2 linked regions of the Solanum lycopersicum genome follow. Each later gene encodes a partner of the first gene's protein in a complex. Links are inferred from orthologs where the notes say so. Each region holds a gene or a part of one and is shown on either strand. Other genes may lie near its edges. The genes, in order: phosphoribulokinase, chloroplastic; calvin cycle protein CP12-1, chloroplastic.

Evidence for each region.
Region 2: the proteins of phosphoribulokinase, chloroplastic (region 1) and calvin cycle protein CP12-1, chloroplastic are in contact, whole or in part, in a crystal structure (PDB 6KEZ), measured with the Arabidopsis thaliana proteins. The link is inferred for Solanum lycopersicum from reciprocal best matches to the Arabidopsis thaliana genes PRK and CP12-2. Residues at the interface, in NP_174486.1 of Arabidopsis thaliana: Ser59, Lys63, Arg109, Arg112, Lys113, Gln115, Lys116, Thr118, Ala119, Tyr148, His150, Val151, Lys201, Arg204, Asp205, Ala207, Glu208, Arg209, Gly210, His211, Ser215, Ala218, Ser219, Ala222, Arg223; in NP_191800.1 of Arabidopsis thaliana: Asp62, Val64, Glu65, Ile68, Gly82, Val85, Ala86, Trp88, Asp89, Glu90, Val91, Glu92, Glu93, Leu94, Ser95, Ala96, Ala97, Ala98, Ser99, His100, Arg102, Asp103.

Annotation. Positions count from the first base shown.
Region 1 is NC_090807.1:62,388,975-62,397,259, forward strand, and holds phosphoribulokinase, chloroplastic, read left to right. Parts: upstream 1-2,838; 5' UTR 2,839-3,187; coding exon 3,188-3,723; intron 3,724-6,178; coding exon 6,179-6,263; intron 6,264-6,400; coding exon 6,401-6,485; intron 6,486-6,709; coding exon 6,710-6,954; intron 6,955-7,575; coding exon 7,576-7,827; 3' UTR 7,828-8,067; downstream 8,068-8,285. Other genes in the region: secretory carrier-associated membrane protein 4, read left to right, coding at 315-347.
Region 2 is NC_090805.1:3,600,645-3,607,188, forward strand, and holds calvin cycle protein CP12-1, chloroplastic, read left to right. Parts: upstream 1-3,925; 5' UTR 3,926-3,995; coding exon 3,996-4,379; 3' UTR 4,380-4,546; downstream 4,547-6,544. Other genes in the region: pentatricopeptide repeat-containing protein At1g09220, mitochondrial, read right to left, coding at 1-916; bZIP transcription factor 53, read right to left, coding at 5,200-5,634. UniProt on the Arabidopsis thaliana protein: Acts as a linker essential in the assembly of a core complex of PRK/GAPDH. Coordinates the reversible inactivation of chloroplast enzymes GAPDH and PRK during darkness in photosynthetic tissues.

The sequences.
Region 1 (8,285 bases):
TCTCTAGTCCTTTTTGATGATTTGCCAGGTTTTCCTTTTATCACAGAAAGAAGGTAGACAATTTGCTAGGTTTTCACCCAGATATGGACATCCAAGTAGTTTTTGTTTTGGAGCATGTACATCTTTTGAACAGTAAATGTACTAACCGAAGAGTCGCTTTGTGGGGGGGAGAGAGTATCATTTAGGTAGGGCTATTCAGAACCTAAGGTTGAATTTAGTTGTGTTAGGTAATTATACTTTTTCTATGCCTGATAACAAACTGTTGTATACTACTAAAAATTTACTTTCATCTTGTAACGTTTATATCATTGCAGAAAGTGTACATGTATTTCCGAGGGCACAAGTGATGCACCTGTTTGGACGTAGCAACAAAACAATTCTTTTCCAGAGTAATGACTTGCGTGATATAGTTGCATGTTTTCTAGGTTTCAAAACATATTCGTTTCATTGTCATTTTTGTATGTAATCACAGTTTGACCTTTGATCATTAGACTACTACATTACTATAGTGCCTTCACTGGGATTCGTTTTTGAGTGATGGTGTCCACTAATAGTCATGTCCAATTGAGACTTGCAGAAACATAACAAGAGAATAACTACAAAAAAATAAAACCTAGTTAACATATATAAAGAAAGAGACTAACTACACTCTTATTATTTTTTTGCTACACTCCAAGCAAGTATTACATTGTGTAATATATGAAAACTATTGATTGGGCTCTCCTGAATACTACTGCAACCAGAAGCTTCAGGCATATAGTTTGCTGAATAAATGTATATTGGAGTAGCTGTATCGGACTAGATTTGGTTCGCACAAGAGCTGAATCTAGAATTTTCTTTTAAATTATATTATTAACCCATAGCTTAACAATTCTACACGTTGATTTCAGCTAAAACAAATTGTTGTTATTCGACCATAAATTCTCACTCTAAGAATCCTACCCCTAACTAATACTCCAATTTTCCATTTAATTCTATGGATTAAAGCAAGAAAATACTTGAGAAATTAGTAGAGTAAATAACTAATTTAAGGTTAGAAACTTATCCCACAAAAGAAACAAATCCAACACTTCTTAAAATAGATATAAATAATTCACGAATCATAGTAGCAAAATGATCTAAGCAAATAAATTAAAGGGAACGGAAGTTCAAATATTTTTGTTCATTTATTAGGATAGACTGTCTACATCACATTCTTTAAAGTACGATTCTTTTCTGAATCTCTGTTAACACGGGATGCTTTGTACACCAGATATGTTTGGAATCCTTAATCTTAACCAAATACGAAACTTGCTAAACTAGGACGTAACTAAGATCATCTAAATTTGGAATGATGAATATAATGAATTTAAAAATAAATACGTAATTAATTCTTGGAAATAGAAAATTCCTTTTCCCCCTTTTATTTTCTTATTTCATGAACTATTTTCTCTTTCTTTTTTAGTAGTAAAATTTCTTGTATTTTTTATCACACTAAAAAAGAACGTCAAAATTAAAGGATGGTTCTTTAATTAATGCTGCAGCATACTTAAATCAATTAACAAAAGTTTAGTTAGTTTGAATTACTTTATATCATACTTAAAGTTTTATTTGTTGTATTTAATGTTTTCTAATATACAAATAATAGTGTTTTAATTAATTAAATTTGAACTGAGAATGAACTCATACTAAATTGAGAGTAATAATAGTTGCAAATTGGAGTGCACATAATTTGATTTGGAAAAATATAGCACATTATATTAAATTAATTTTAGGCTAAATTTTTTCTTATTTGACGTCGCGATTAACTAGATTTATAGTATTGCCAAGTAATTTCCAATTAAGTAAAGCTATGAATACTTATTAGGAGCTAAGTTAAGCCTTATATCAAACTTTGTAATCCTCAACCAAAATACCTAAAATTTAAAAATCTCGAAATAACTTATTCATCGACCCGAACAACATTCCAAAGCAAAAAGTAGTATCCAAAATTGTTTGAATTATGGATTACACATTCTCTATCTTCTTTTATGCCATCATCCTTCTGCCACGTGTCCTATGAAATATCCAAACTGAAATAAATCACCACCAAACCTTTTCTCCATCCCTTTATCTATCACAAACATCATCTTCAATCCTTACTAACAGAATAATAAATAAATAAATTCAAGAAAAATAATAAATTTTCTTATTCAATAGTGTATGTGGAGTGTGGGGTAGTGGGGGGTAGTACAAAGTAAAATGACCATTATACCCCTAAACAAAAATTTAAAATCACAAACCATGTCCTCTTTATTCTTAGCCTTAAAATAATTATCTAAAATAGTTAAACCTAAATAGTCGTCCACCGCGCACAAACACTTAAACTAAAAGCAGTCGTTAGACGTATAATTCATGTATATCAGTGTATACCAGCTAGAAAAAAAAGAAGTAAAATAATGAATCATAAAACCTGCTGTCTAACGTATAATTCATGTATATCAGCGTATACCAACTAAAAATTTCCTAACTCGATTTTTCAAAAATGTTGACAGGTATGTGTTAAATTCTCAAAAATTAATATACTACTTTAAAGAGATTCAACACAAATACAACAACATGTATAAATATACTACAATTTATGCATGGTTAAAATTAACTTTTATGTGTATATAGTAAATGTGAACCTCCTTCGATTAGTTTGTATGTTTACCTTTTCAAATTTTACAATCCCATTATTAAAATTTTTGCTTCGTCACTGCATCACGATGTGATTCACTGAAAGTAAACTAACGAATCCTACTTGCTATATTTGCGTAAAACTCCATTGCTCTGACTCTTTGAATATACTTATAGATGTGTATTAGATTTTTCAAAATTAATATATTATTTTTAAAAGATCCGATCAATTATAAAAAAGCGGATTAATACTACCTCCAATGGTAGTCACAGAAATCCAAATCAACACACTTCACTATCCAAACAAAACAGCCATAACCATAGCCATTAACTTCTTACAAAAAAATTCTAAGCCTCACATATTTTTTTTCTCCAAAATATCCTAAAAACCAAAAAAAAAATTTAATTTTTTTTTAAAAAAAATGCCCATTCATTAATCTATCAGTAAGTCAGTGAGCACACAAAAATAAAAAATAAAAAAGCTTCCTCCATAATTCTATCTCAAAAACCTCTCAAGAAACAGAGAGATAGAGGGGCAAAAATAAAAAAAATGGCAGTTTGTACAGTGTACACTGCTCAATCACTGAATTCATCTTGTTCAATTTCAACTCCATCAAAACCCCACTTAAGATTTCACCAGAAACAAGTAATTTTCCTAACAAAAAGACCAAGGAAGATGACATGCTCTGCTTCCTCTGACGGTGAAAAAACAGTTGTAATCGGTCTAGCAGCTGATTCTGGTTGTGGTAAAAGTACATTTATGAGACGATTAACCAGCGTCTTTGGTGGCGCTGCTGAACCACCGAAAGGTGGAAATCCAGATTCAAACACATTGATATCAGACATGACTACTGTCATTTGTCTTGATGATTATCATTCACTTGACAGAACTGGTAGAAAAGAAAAAGGGGTAACTGCTCTTGATCCAAGAGCTAATGATTTTGATCTAATGTATGAACAAGTTAAAGCTATTAAAGATGGGGTTCCTGTTGATAAACCTATTTATAATCATGTTAGTGGTCTTCTTGATCCTCCTGAGGTTATTAAGCCTCCAAAGATTCTTGTCATTGAAGGATTACACCCCATGTAAGTCCCGTTTTAACTTATATGCACCGACAGTATCTCATAACTTTTACTCTTAATTTATGTTGAATTTTGAAATGTATAGATTTTTTTTATTTTTTTTTTATATATGTGGATTTTTAAAATATCATTATAGAATTTGAGTGAAAAGTTATTGAATTTTGTTAGAATGAGTTTTAAGAAAAACAAAAATATAGATTTTTTTTTTGAAATTTCTTATCTAAAATATGTGGGGTACATTTGTGTGGTTGTGAAATCATATCTTGGTAGGGGATAAAATGAAGTTTTAAAGCTAATTTTTTTTTTTGATATAATATAAGTTTTATTTTATTTAAAAGTAGACTAAAAATGGAAATGTGTTATATGGAATGAATAAAAAAAGATTACTGAACTTATTTTATGGGTTATTCTTCCACTTATTATATAAAAAAAATTATATAACTGTGAGTAATAGGCGGAGGTAGGAGTATACATGATCGGGTTGGTTTGGATTTTTCAAATATCAAATCAAATTATTTGTGTCGGGTTTTTAAATTTATAAACCAAATCAAATCAATAAAATTCAAAATTTTCAACTTCGGGTTTTTTTTTCGAGATTTTGAGTTTTTTCGATAATGAATTCGTAAAAACATATAATTTACTTGTATTTCAAATATTTATTTAATCCTATCAAAATGCAACTATCTAAGTTATTTCTCAAGAAAATAACAAAAAATATGATATAATTAATGACACTAAAATATAAAAAAAATAATAATAAAATCGCGTAAAACAAATATTGCAAATTAATAAGTCATAATGAAATTGATTATAATTTAAAGTACTAAATCATGCTAACATAAGTTTAGTAAGTATTAGTTACATGACTAAATATTAAAAGAAAGTAAAATTAGATCATGTATTTTAATTGTCTAAATCTATGTAAAACTAATAAACAAATATTCAATATTATTGTCATTTTTAGTGTTGAATTGATTTTTTTTTTTTGCATTAGTATTAATTTAATTTTTATTTAGACTTTATTATAATTACCAACATGTATAGACTATAATCTTATTACATTATTAAGAATTCTAACTTCCAAACATGAAATAATTTTATTAAAAGATAAAACTATTAAAAAATATAATTGATATTTAAAAAAATATATCAAAGTAAGTATTTTTAGGTATAAAATAAAATTTTTAAAATTATATATATAATGTCGGGTTGGTTTGGTCTCTGATTATTTTTTTTAATCAAAACCAAACCAACCCAAATATAATCGTGTTTTTTTTTCCAATACCAAACCAAGTCAAACCAAATCACTAGTCATTTTTTTTTTGGTTTGACTCGATTTGCAGTGTGATTCGATTTTCAGTTCGATTTTGTACACCCCTAGGCGGAGGCAATGTATAATCCCCTCAGCGAAAAATTATTACTATTCATACATGATTAAAATTATTTTCTAGATATATAATAGAAGTCGAACCCCCTCCCAATAGTTCATATGTTTACTTCTGAAATTTTGAAACCCTCATTAAAATTTTTGACTTTGCTACTTGCGGTGAGTATGTTATTAATAAATTTTTGAAGAAATGCAATGATGTTTTTCTAATGTTAAAACAAGACACATGCAAGAGAGGTGACACATTGAAAAGAAAACTTTGGTTTCTCCGTATATTTAGATTCTTTAATTTTTTTCTTGTCGTTTGTGTAACGAAATGTACTTTATAATTTACTTCCCTACAAAAGGGAAAAAAGAAAAAAATGAAAATGGTGCAGGGGATTCTCTTCTTTTGACATGTGTTACTTGGGATCTATAAGAATATTGACAAGTATGTGTCTTAGATTCTCTATCAATTATGATTCTTTTAGAGAATTTGATATAAATATAATAACATTTTTAAAAGATTCAAACAAAATCAGAATGTCCTCAAATGAAATAAATTTAATGAAAAATGTCTTCGATTAATAATTTGATCCAAAATATGGTACTTTATGACATTTTCCTTAAACTTAATTAGAATTTAGGTCTCCAAAGTAATATCTATTTCTGCTGCAAAAATTCGATAGAAAAATCAGTAGCAGCACTTTAAGCACCATATTAATAATGCAACTCTTGATGCACTTAGTTACGTGTATAAGAATAATGATGAATAAAATGTATTTACAGCCAAAATAGAGATGGGAGAAAAAAAAAATACGAATATCTAATGAGATAGAAGTTTCGAATATTGAGATTTGTAATGGACCGATCAATTATAATGTATTTTAGTGTGTTAAAAATAACATATATTGTATAGCTTTTTTTTTTTTTAAAAGTGAGTTTTAGAAATGTCCACGTACGTGCATTCTTTGACGTATACTTTTAGGGACTATTGCGTTTATTAATCATTCTAATGCATGTATTAATAATATTAGTATATCATAATGTAGTAAAATCTGATATTTATTTTTCATTTTCTATGGTATGAAGGTACGATGAGCGTGTGAGAGACCTCTTGGACTTCAGTATCTACTTGGATATCAGCAATGAGGTCAAGTTTGCTTGGAAGATCCAGGTAACTATCACTAAAATTTATCTATAACGACGCGTACAAGTGACCTGATTATGTAAATATCTTTTACATTGTTAATACATAGAACTTATGACTCGAACCAAATATGCATGATATCGGTTCTTTTTTGAAAAATGCAGAGGGATATGGCTGAAAGAGGACACAGCCTTGAGAGCATTAAGGCCAGTATTGAAGCTAGGAAACCAGATTTTGATGCTTACATTGGTGAACTACTTACCCTTGAAATAACAATTACCTCTGTTGCTCCACTTTTCATTTTAAAAAACCGCACGATGTGTGTCAGATCCTCCAAAAATGCATACTTTTGAAGGATCTAACATGATTGCGATAACATATTTGGAGAGTCTGAACAACACAAATAGTTAATATCATACATGATTGATGAATATGATTAGTTAAGTGGCAAAAAAATTGTTTTTTTGGTGCAGATCCACAAAAGCAATATGCAGATGCAGTCATTGAAGTGCTCCCAACTCAGCTAATCCCAGATGACAATGAAGGCAAAGTTTTGAGAGTGAGATTGATAATGAAGGAAGGAGTGAAGAACTTCAATCCAGTTTACCTGTTTGATGAAGGATCGACAATCTCATGGATTCCTTGTGGCAGGAAGTTGACTTGTTCTTACCCTGGCATCAAATTCACCTATGGCCCTGACACCTACTTTGGCAATGAGGTATAGGCTGCATTCTTTCTCTACCTGCCAAAACTTGATCATACTAATCAATCGACTCTCTCGCCTTGTGGTCAACATTCCATTCCCCATAGTCGTAGGTGCTCGTTCTATCCTGATTTGAATGAGCTGAAGCTCCCTAGGTACATATGGTTGGCCTTTATGGTGTCTCAGCAATACAAACATAGAAATAAGCTGAACTTAGGTTAGATCAATAGGGTGTATCAGATGGTAATCTAGTCCACCTGTCTAGACTCGACCCGAGGAACTCAATTGGAAGGACATTAGTTGCTGATTACTAGTCAGGCTAGAAAATTAAGCTTTGTATGTGAGGATTCATCTTAAATTGACTAGGCAGAAAAACTTCAATCCAGTTTACCTACCATCCTTTGTTCGGGTTTGGGACCAACAATGTGAGCAAGCAAGCTAACACAAGTGGTAAATAAACACTAAAAGAATGTTAAAGCTTCTTCTCGATATCTCTCGATGATATGTCACAGTTCTTTAAAGACAACATGCTAGAAAATACCTGGCTAACTCAGAGAGCGGGTTTGTACCATTGCTCAGCTATTCTTCCAAAAATCATGCCTGATTTTCACCATCTGTTTTTCTTCGTACTTGCAGGTATCTGTCTTGGAGATGGATGGCCAATTTGACAGACTAGATGAACTCATCTACGTGGAGAGCCATTTGAGCAACCTCTCCAGCAAATTCTATGGTGAAGTTACTCAACAAATGTTGAAGCATGCAGACTTCCCTGGCAGCAACAATGGAACAGGTTTCTTCCAGACCATTGTCGGTTTGAAGATCAGAGACCTCTACGAGCAAATCGTTGCCAGCAGAGCTGGAGCTCCAGTCGCAGCTGCAAAGGCCTAAACTTTGCCAAACTATATTAACAGCTAGGCCCCAGAATCATCTGTTGTACCTAGTTGTTTCCCTTCTTCCCTAAATTTTATTTGCCGACTTCTTTTCTCCACTTTCATGTCTCAGTTTCATGGTAGATAATTCCCCATAATTGAGAAAATACACTTTGTTATGTATTTATTTGTAGCTGGAAATGTGTTGAGAGTTGTAACATGGACAATAAAATGGTGAAATGAATTTCAATTCCAAACAGTTTCTGCACAACTACTCGGATGTAAACAACAGAACAATAATTGAGATTGAAACCACCAAGAAACTCAGAAAATCTGATACTCGTAAACACAATATTTCATGCAAAATGTGTCTCAGAATGCCATACTTTTGTTAGAACGAAGGAAGCATCCAAAGACTAATACGGAGAAGCATGATATTACCAGAATTTATAAGTACTAAGTTCAACATATTAACAA
Region 2 (6,544 bases), on another chromosome or scaffold:
CTTTTGCCATCCCATGCATTGCATATCCTGATATTATTGACGTCCATGACACCAAATTCTTTCTTTCATCTGATATATCCTCGAAAGCTCTAACAGCATCGTCTATACTTCCACACTTAGCATAAGCATCCACAAGTGAATTCATAACACGAATATCAAAAGCATCGATACCACTTTTCTCCCCGTAAGCATGAATCATTCTGCAACACTCTAGACAGCGAACATTCCAAATAGCCGGGAAAATCGCCAATAGAGTCACTTCAGTCGGTTTAATCCCCTCAACCACAACCATTTCCCGAAACAAAGACAAAGCCTCATTGAACCGACCCATCCTCGTATACCCATCGATAAGACCCGTCCATGAAATAACATTCTTCTCCGGCATTCCATCAAACACCGCCCGAGCAACCTTAACATCACCCCATTTAATACAACCACTGATCAAAGCATTCCAAGTCACAGAATTTCTCACAGGCATTTCATCAAACACCTTCTTGGCTTCACCAACCAATCCACATTCCCCATACATATTAACCAATGCAGTTTGCACATAAACATGAGATTCAAATCCATCCTTCAAACTCAAACAATGAATCTGCTTCCCAATACAAAACTTTCCTAAATTAGCTGATCCTTTAATCAAGAATGAATATGTAAAGCTATCAAAAAAGATAATGGGGTGATACTGTAACCGCAATTGTTTGAACAGAAGAAAAGATTCTTGTGGGAAAATACCAAGAGAGTAATGCCGAATTAAAGAGTTCCATAGAGTTAATAAAATGGGTATTGAAGAAGTTGAGTTGAAGGTGTTTTCTGCAGTGGTGAATATTAACTGAGTATGAATTTGCTGAATTGGTTTGCGATGGTTTTGGTACTTTTTAACAAGACTAAGAAGATGATGAACATCTCTGCCCATCAAAGTTTCATTCTTTGAAGCATTAATGGACTAAATTTGAGAGCAGAAAAAAAGCTCTCAACTTTCGAGCTTCACTGTCTATGGCGAAACGCAATTCCAAGAAAATACTAGCAAGCAAGGTTGAAATTTTAGCTCATGACTTACAATTATTTAATCGAAAATAACACACTCATAAAATTTGATATGTATGGTTTAATAGCACAAAGTGTATTATATGTAATTTATTTTAACGAATATAACGTTTAAATATTGGATGTTTGTTTTTTTAGGTGAAAATTTTGTATAAAAAGTTTAATAAAATTTAAATAGGAAAAAGAGTCAGATATATCCATCAACTTTGATATTTAAAGTTAATATACTCCTCGTTATGAAATTGGTTCATATATGCCTTACCGTTGTACAAACGGCTCACATATACTCATGTTGTTATAAAATGACTCACATATATCCTTCATTTAACGGAAGTTAAAAGAATTAGTTTTAAATTTATATTTATTACTTTTTTTAAAAAAAAAATTGTTTAGGGGTATATATGATTCTTCTATCCAAGTTCAAGGTATGTTTTAATTTTTTTCATACATAAATTATTTTTTGACTTCTTTTATTATAATTATTTGAGTTTCTTATTCTTATTCTTATTTTTATCTTTCATTCCTTAGTTTAAAGAGAAAAAAATTAAACTATTTTTCTTGTCTATATTGTAGTTTGATTTTTATATTCGAAGAAAAAAATTTGGCCCATCTATAATAAGTTTTACAAGAATATTAGTGAAACATAAATAAATTTGATTATCAAAATAATAATTCTAAATTAGTCATTGAAACAAAAAAAAATAAAAAAAATATGTTTGACGAGGATTAAATTTACTCATATGGTATATTTTTTAGAAAAAAATAATAAAAAGTTAGATTATTGTTTTTTTCATGTCCGTTAGAGGAAAAGGATATATGTGAGTCATTTGTTTATAAGTAGAGGTATATATGAATCACTTTCATAACAAGGGTTATATCAGATCTAAATGACAAAGTTGAAGGGTATATCAAACCCTTTTCCCATTTGAATATAGGGAAACTTACATAAATATACTAAAATAAAAAAAATTATTTATAGCAATAATATTTTTTTAATTGATCACTTTTAATTCATTTATAATACAAGTTTAATACATATTACAAAGAACAATTTATTATTCACATATAATACAAGTTTTAATGATGGATAATACATTTACCACAAATTTTGATACACTTATAATATAATGTGACACATTTTTACCAAACAAACATAATATATTTCAAAAAATAATTAATAATTCATGTATATTGCATACATAATTCACTCTTCATATATATTACATATTTAACATAGTATTGTTATAAATGGTAATAAATTGAAAATTTCACTAAAATCGATAATTATTTATTAGAATATACTAATTCATGTAATTTTTCGTTGAATTATAACAGTAAAGATATTTTAAACAAGGAAAAAGGGTCAAATATGCCCCTAGACTATTCGAAAAGGTCTAGACATATCCTTTGTTTAAAGTTTGACTCACTCATGCCCTCTCCGTCCAACTTTTGGTTCAAATATGCCCTTATGAGCGTTAGTTGTCATGTTGGACAAATTCAACTTATTTTTTCATTTCTTTAAATGTTACATGAAATTGTCATGTCATTTTGACCTTACCACATGACATTTATATAAAAATGAAAAATATCCGAACTCATAAACACCTAATCCGACACATAAATCAACTCCTTTTAAATTCACTATCCGACTCATTTTTAGTAATTTTGTTTAATTTTTATTTTTTCGATAAATCACGAAAATGAGTAATTGATTAATAAAAAATAGGAAAAATATGAAAAATATATAAAATTGACGCCAAAATTTCATAAATAAATATAGTAACCTTAAATCTGACATTTAAATATTTTTTTAATTTTTTTATTTTTCGGTAAATCTCGAAAATGAGTAATTGATTAATAAAAAATATGAAAAAAATATAAATTAACGCCAAAAGTTTACAAATAAATATAGTAACATTTTATTATACATTTTTTTTAAATTTTTTTATATTTTTCGGCAAATCCCGAAATGAGTAATTTATTAATAAAAAGGGAAAAATATGAAAACAAAATAAAAAATTTACGTTAAAATTCACAAATAAATATAGTAACCTTAAATTCAATAATTTCAACAAATTTTTTATTTCATATATTTCTATTTTTTATTTCTGATTTTTTTGCGTAATTTTTATATTTTTTCATATTTTTTTGTTAATGAACTCATTTTTGGGATTTTCTGAAAAAATTAAAAAATATTGAAATTGTTGAATTAAAGGTTATTGTTTTCATTTTTTTATTTTTGGCGTTAATTTTTTATTTTTTATCAATCAATTACTCATTTGGGATTTATCGAAAAAAATAATTTTTTTTAAAAAATGTTTGAATTGAATTTAAGGTTATTATATTTATTTGTGAATTTCTGGCGTTAATTTTATATTTTTTCCATATTTTTTTTATCCTTTACTAATCAATTCCTCATTTTTCGGAATTTATCGAAAAAATAAAAATTAAACAAAATTATTAAAAATTGATCGGATAGTGAATTTAAAAAGAGTTGATTTTTGGGTTTGATTAGGTGTTTATGAGTCCGAATATGTCATGTGGTAAGGTCAAAATGACATGACAATTCAATGTGACATTTAAAGAAATAAAAAATGAGTTGGATATGTCCAACATGAAACTAACGACTATAAAAGTATATTTAGACCAAAAGTTGAACGACAGATGAGTGAACTAAACTTTAAACGGAGGGGTATATCTACACATTTTTAAATAGTTTGGAGATTCAAATAGTTCAGATACATATCTAACTCTTTTTCCTTTTAACAATAAAATATCTTTGGACGTCATCTTGACGACGTGGATGTTAACCATTGGCCAACAAAGTGATAAGAAATGTGTGCTCATTACTCATTTCATCTCAATGATAATATATACCCATCCTAAAAAGAAAGAAAATAAAAAAATATCTTCTTCTTCTTCTTCACCCTAACACAGAGCAAATAAAAATGGCGTCCATAGCCGGTGTTAGTATAACAATCCCAACAATTTCATCCGATTCACCCAAAATTCAGCCCTTGAAATTGCAAACCCTAAACAGCCCATGGAAGAAATCAAGTCAATTGGGTTACAGGAGGATGATGTATGTAGTGGTACCCAGAGTAGTTCCGGATAAGAAGCTATCTGATTTAGTTGCGGAAAGTGTTAAAGAAGCTGAAGAAACTTGTGCGGAGGATCCGGTGAGCGGCGAGTGTAAGGCGGCATGGGATGTGGTGGAAGAGACGAGTGCAGCAGCGAGCCATGCGAGGGATAAGAAGAAGGAATCAGATGTACTGGAGAATTATTGCAAGGATAATCCAGAAACTGATGAATGCCGCACTTACGATAATTAATTATGATGATGATTAGTAGCAGCTACTCATGTCATGTCTTGTGTTCTTTTCAAATGGTAATCTGTTTTATCAAAACTTAAATCTTCTCTTATGTTATGTATGGTATGGTGTTTAATTATACATACTGTTACCATGAATTCCAATTTATGTGATATAGTTTGAACGAACGAATTGAAAATGATAAAGTTAGATCAGAGCAGAAATATAACCAGAGAGCTTTAGTTTAAACAATTGTTCTCTGCTAGTAATGCTACTTTCAATTTTCAGTTTACATGAATAAATAAAGCATCTTTTACAACAACAAAAAAGAAGAAAACCCAATGATCAATAATCATGTTATCTGAATCAGCTTATACAGTATTTAATTTTACGAGTACCTGCTATCTCCCATCAATCAAATAACCATCCACGAAGACGACAGATGGGAAGACATATCACTAGTTAAACTCTTGCAAGTCAAATGACAGAAAAAAGAGTTCAAACTCTTTGCCCTATAAAAGCATTGACATCCAATGATCAAAATAATTAGAATGGAAAAAATAGGATAAACAAGTCCACAATATCAACACACAGCAATTTTTTCATAGAAATGAGAAGGGCCATCTCATTCATAGTACTCCAAAAGATGCATATATAACATCCACAGACTAAATAAAGTCGAACAAATACTAAAAACAACAAACTAGATATTCAGATATCGATAATAGGCCAAAACCAACCATTACTATTCAGAAACAAAAGCTACATTGCTAATATCAAACTAGATACTTAATACGCTTAATCTCTATTCCATTCTTGTAAATCATCACACCAGCAGAGCTCAAAACTGGAACATATCAGAAGCAGTGATAGGTTGAATCGGGCAAGGCAGTTGCCATGGCTCCAGCAAAGTGTCGGGAATTTCAGGAATGTCCACAGGAAATCCAGTAGTATCAGCCCAAAATTGGGTGAGTGAGTTCAGTGAATTCAACCGTTCAGTCAATTCTGCAAGCTGAGCCCTCAACACGTTGTTCTCTGCATCAATGGAACGATAGTTCATTTCAACAGAAGCAATCTTATCACGGCAGATACTGTTCTGGTTCTGCAGCTGTGTTGTTTCGCTACTTAACTCCTCCAAACGCTGCTGCTTCTTCATCCGTGACCTCTTGGCCGACTCACGGTTGGATTCCATTCTCTTCCTTTTCCTTTCGTCGAACTTTGCATACCTCTGGTCTGCATCTGAACCAGAACTCACCAAGTGCGGAGTCGAAGACATGTCTCTCAGGCAGATTGGATGAATGATTTAAAAAATGGAATAACAGGGAACTATGTATAATTTGTTAAAGCACCAAACTTTTGATAGTGTGGCTATGGAATTTGTAAATTAAACTGGAACAAGAAAATGATGAGGGCTCTAGTTCATGAAAACACGTAGAACCAGTAAAGAAAGACTACTGAGAAAGAATGCAGAATCCGAACTCGTCGCACGCGAATAGAGAATGACATGAAGAAATTTTGAAACTAAGAATCAAACATTGGAACTTTGTAAGAGACCCCAACCAGTCTTCAAAGAAACCAAATAATTTCCTGAGTAGAATATCCAAAATCCAAACAGCAAATGAAAGTATTCACAAAAATGATCTGCAATCAAACACAACAGACTATATTAGAGAACATCTCAGAAACGCGATCAAAAGGCCAAAACAAAATTCAACCACAAAACCACAATAACATACGTTCTGCTACTCAACAAAATTCTAACCATTAAAGATGTCTCAACTTAAATTTTCAAATACAACAAAAATAACAACCACATCAACAACATACAAGTGTAATTCCACAAGTGGGATCTAGGGAGGGTAGTGTGTACTGTGTACAGACCATACACAAAATCCTTCGAATCTTTCAACAAGATTAAAAACTAACTTCCAAATCCTTTTGGATTTTTGAAAGATTTGGAAATTTGAGTTTGAAGATGTTCTATAAAGAGTTCTTTTTTTTTTGCTGAAAGAGCTCAACCAAATTACTGTTTTTGCAAACCCTAAAACAAATGTCACTAGATTAAGGCTCACCAAATCAATTGATATCAGATGATTTACCTACTCAATAAAGTTCATTTTGATTCTAATCCCATAAAAGGGGGTAAGGTTCTGAAGTTCAAATCTTTTTTCTCTTTCTCAGTTAAA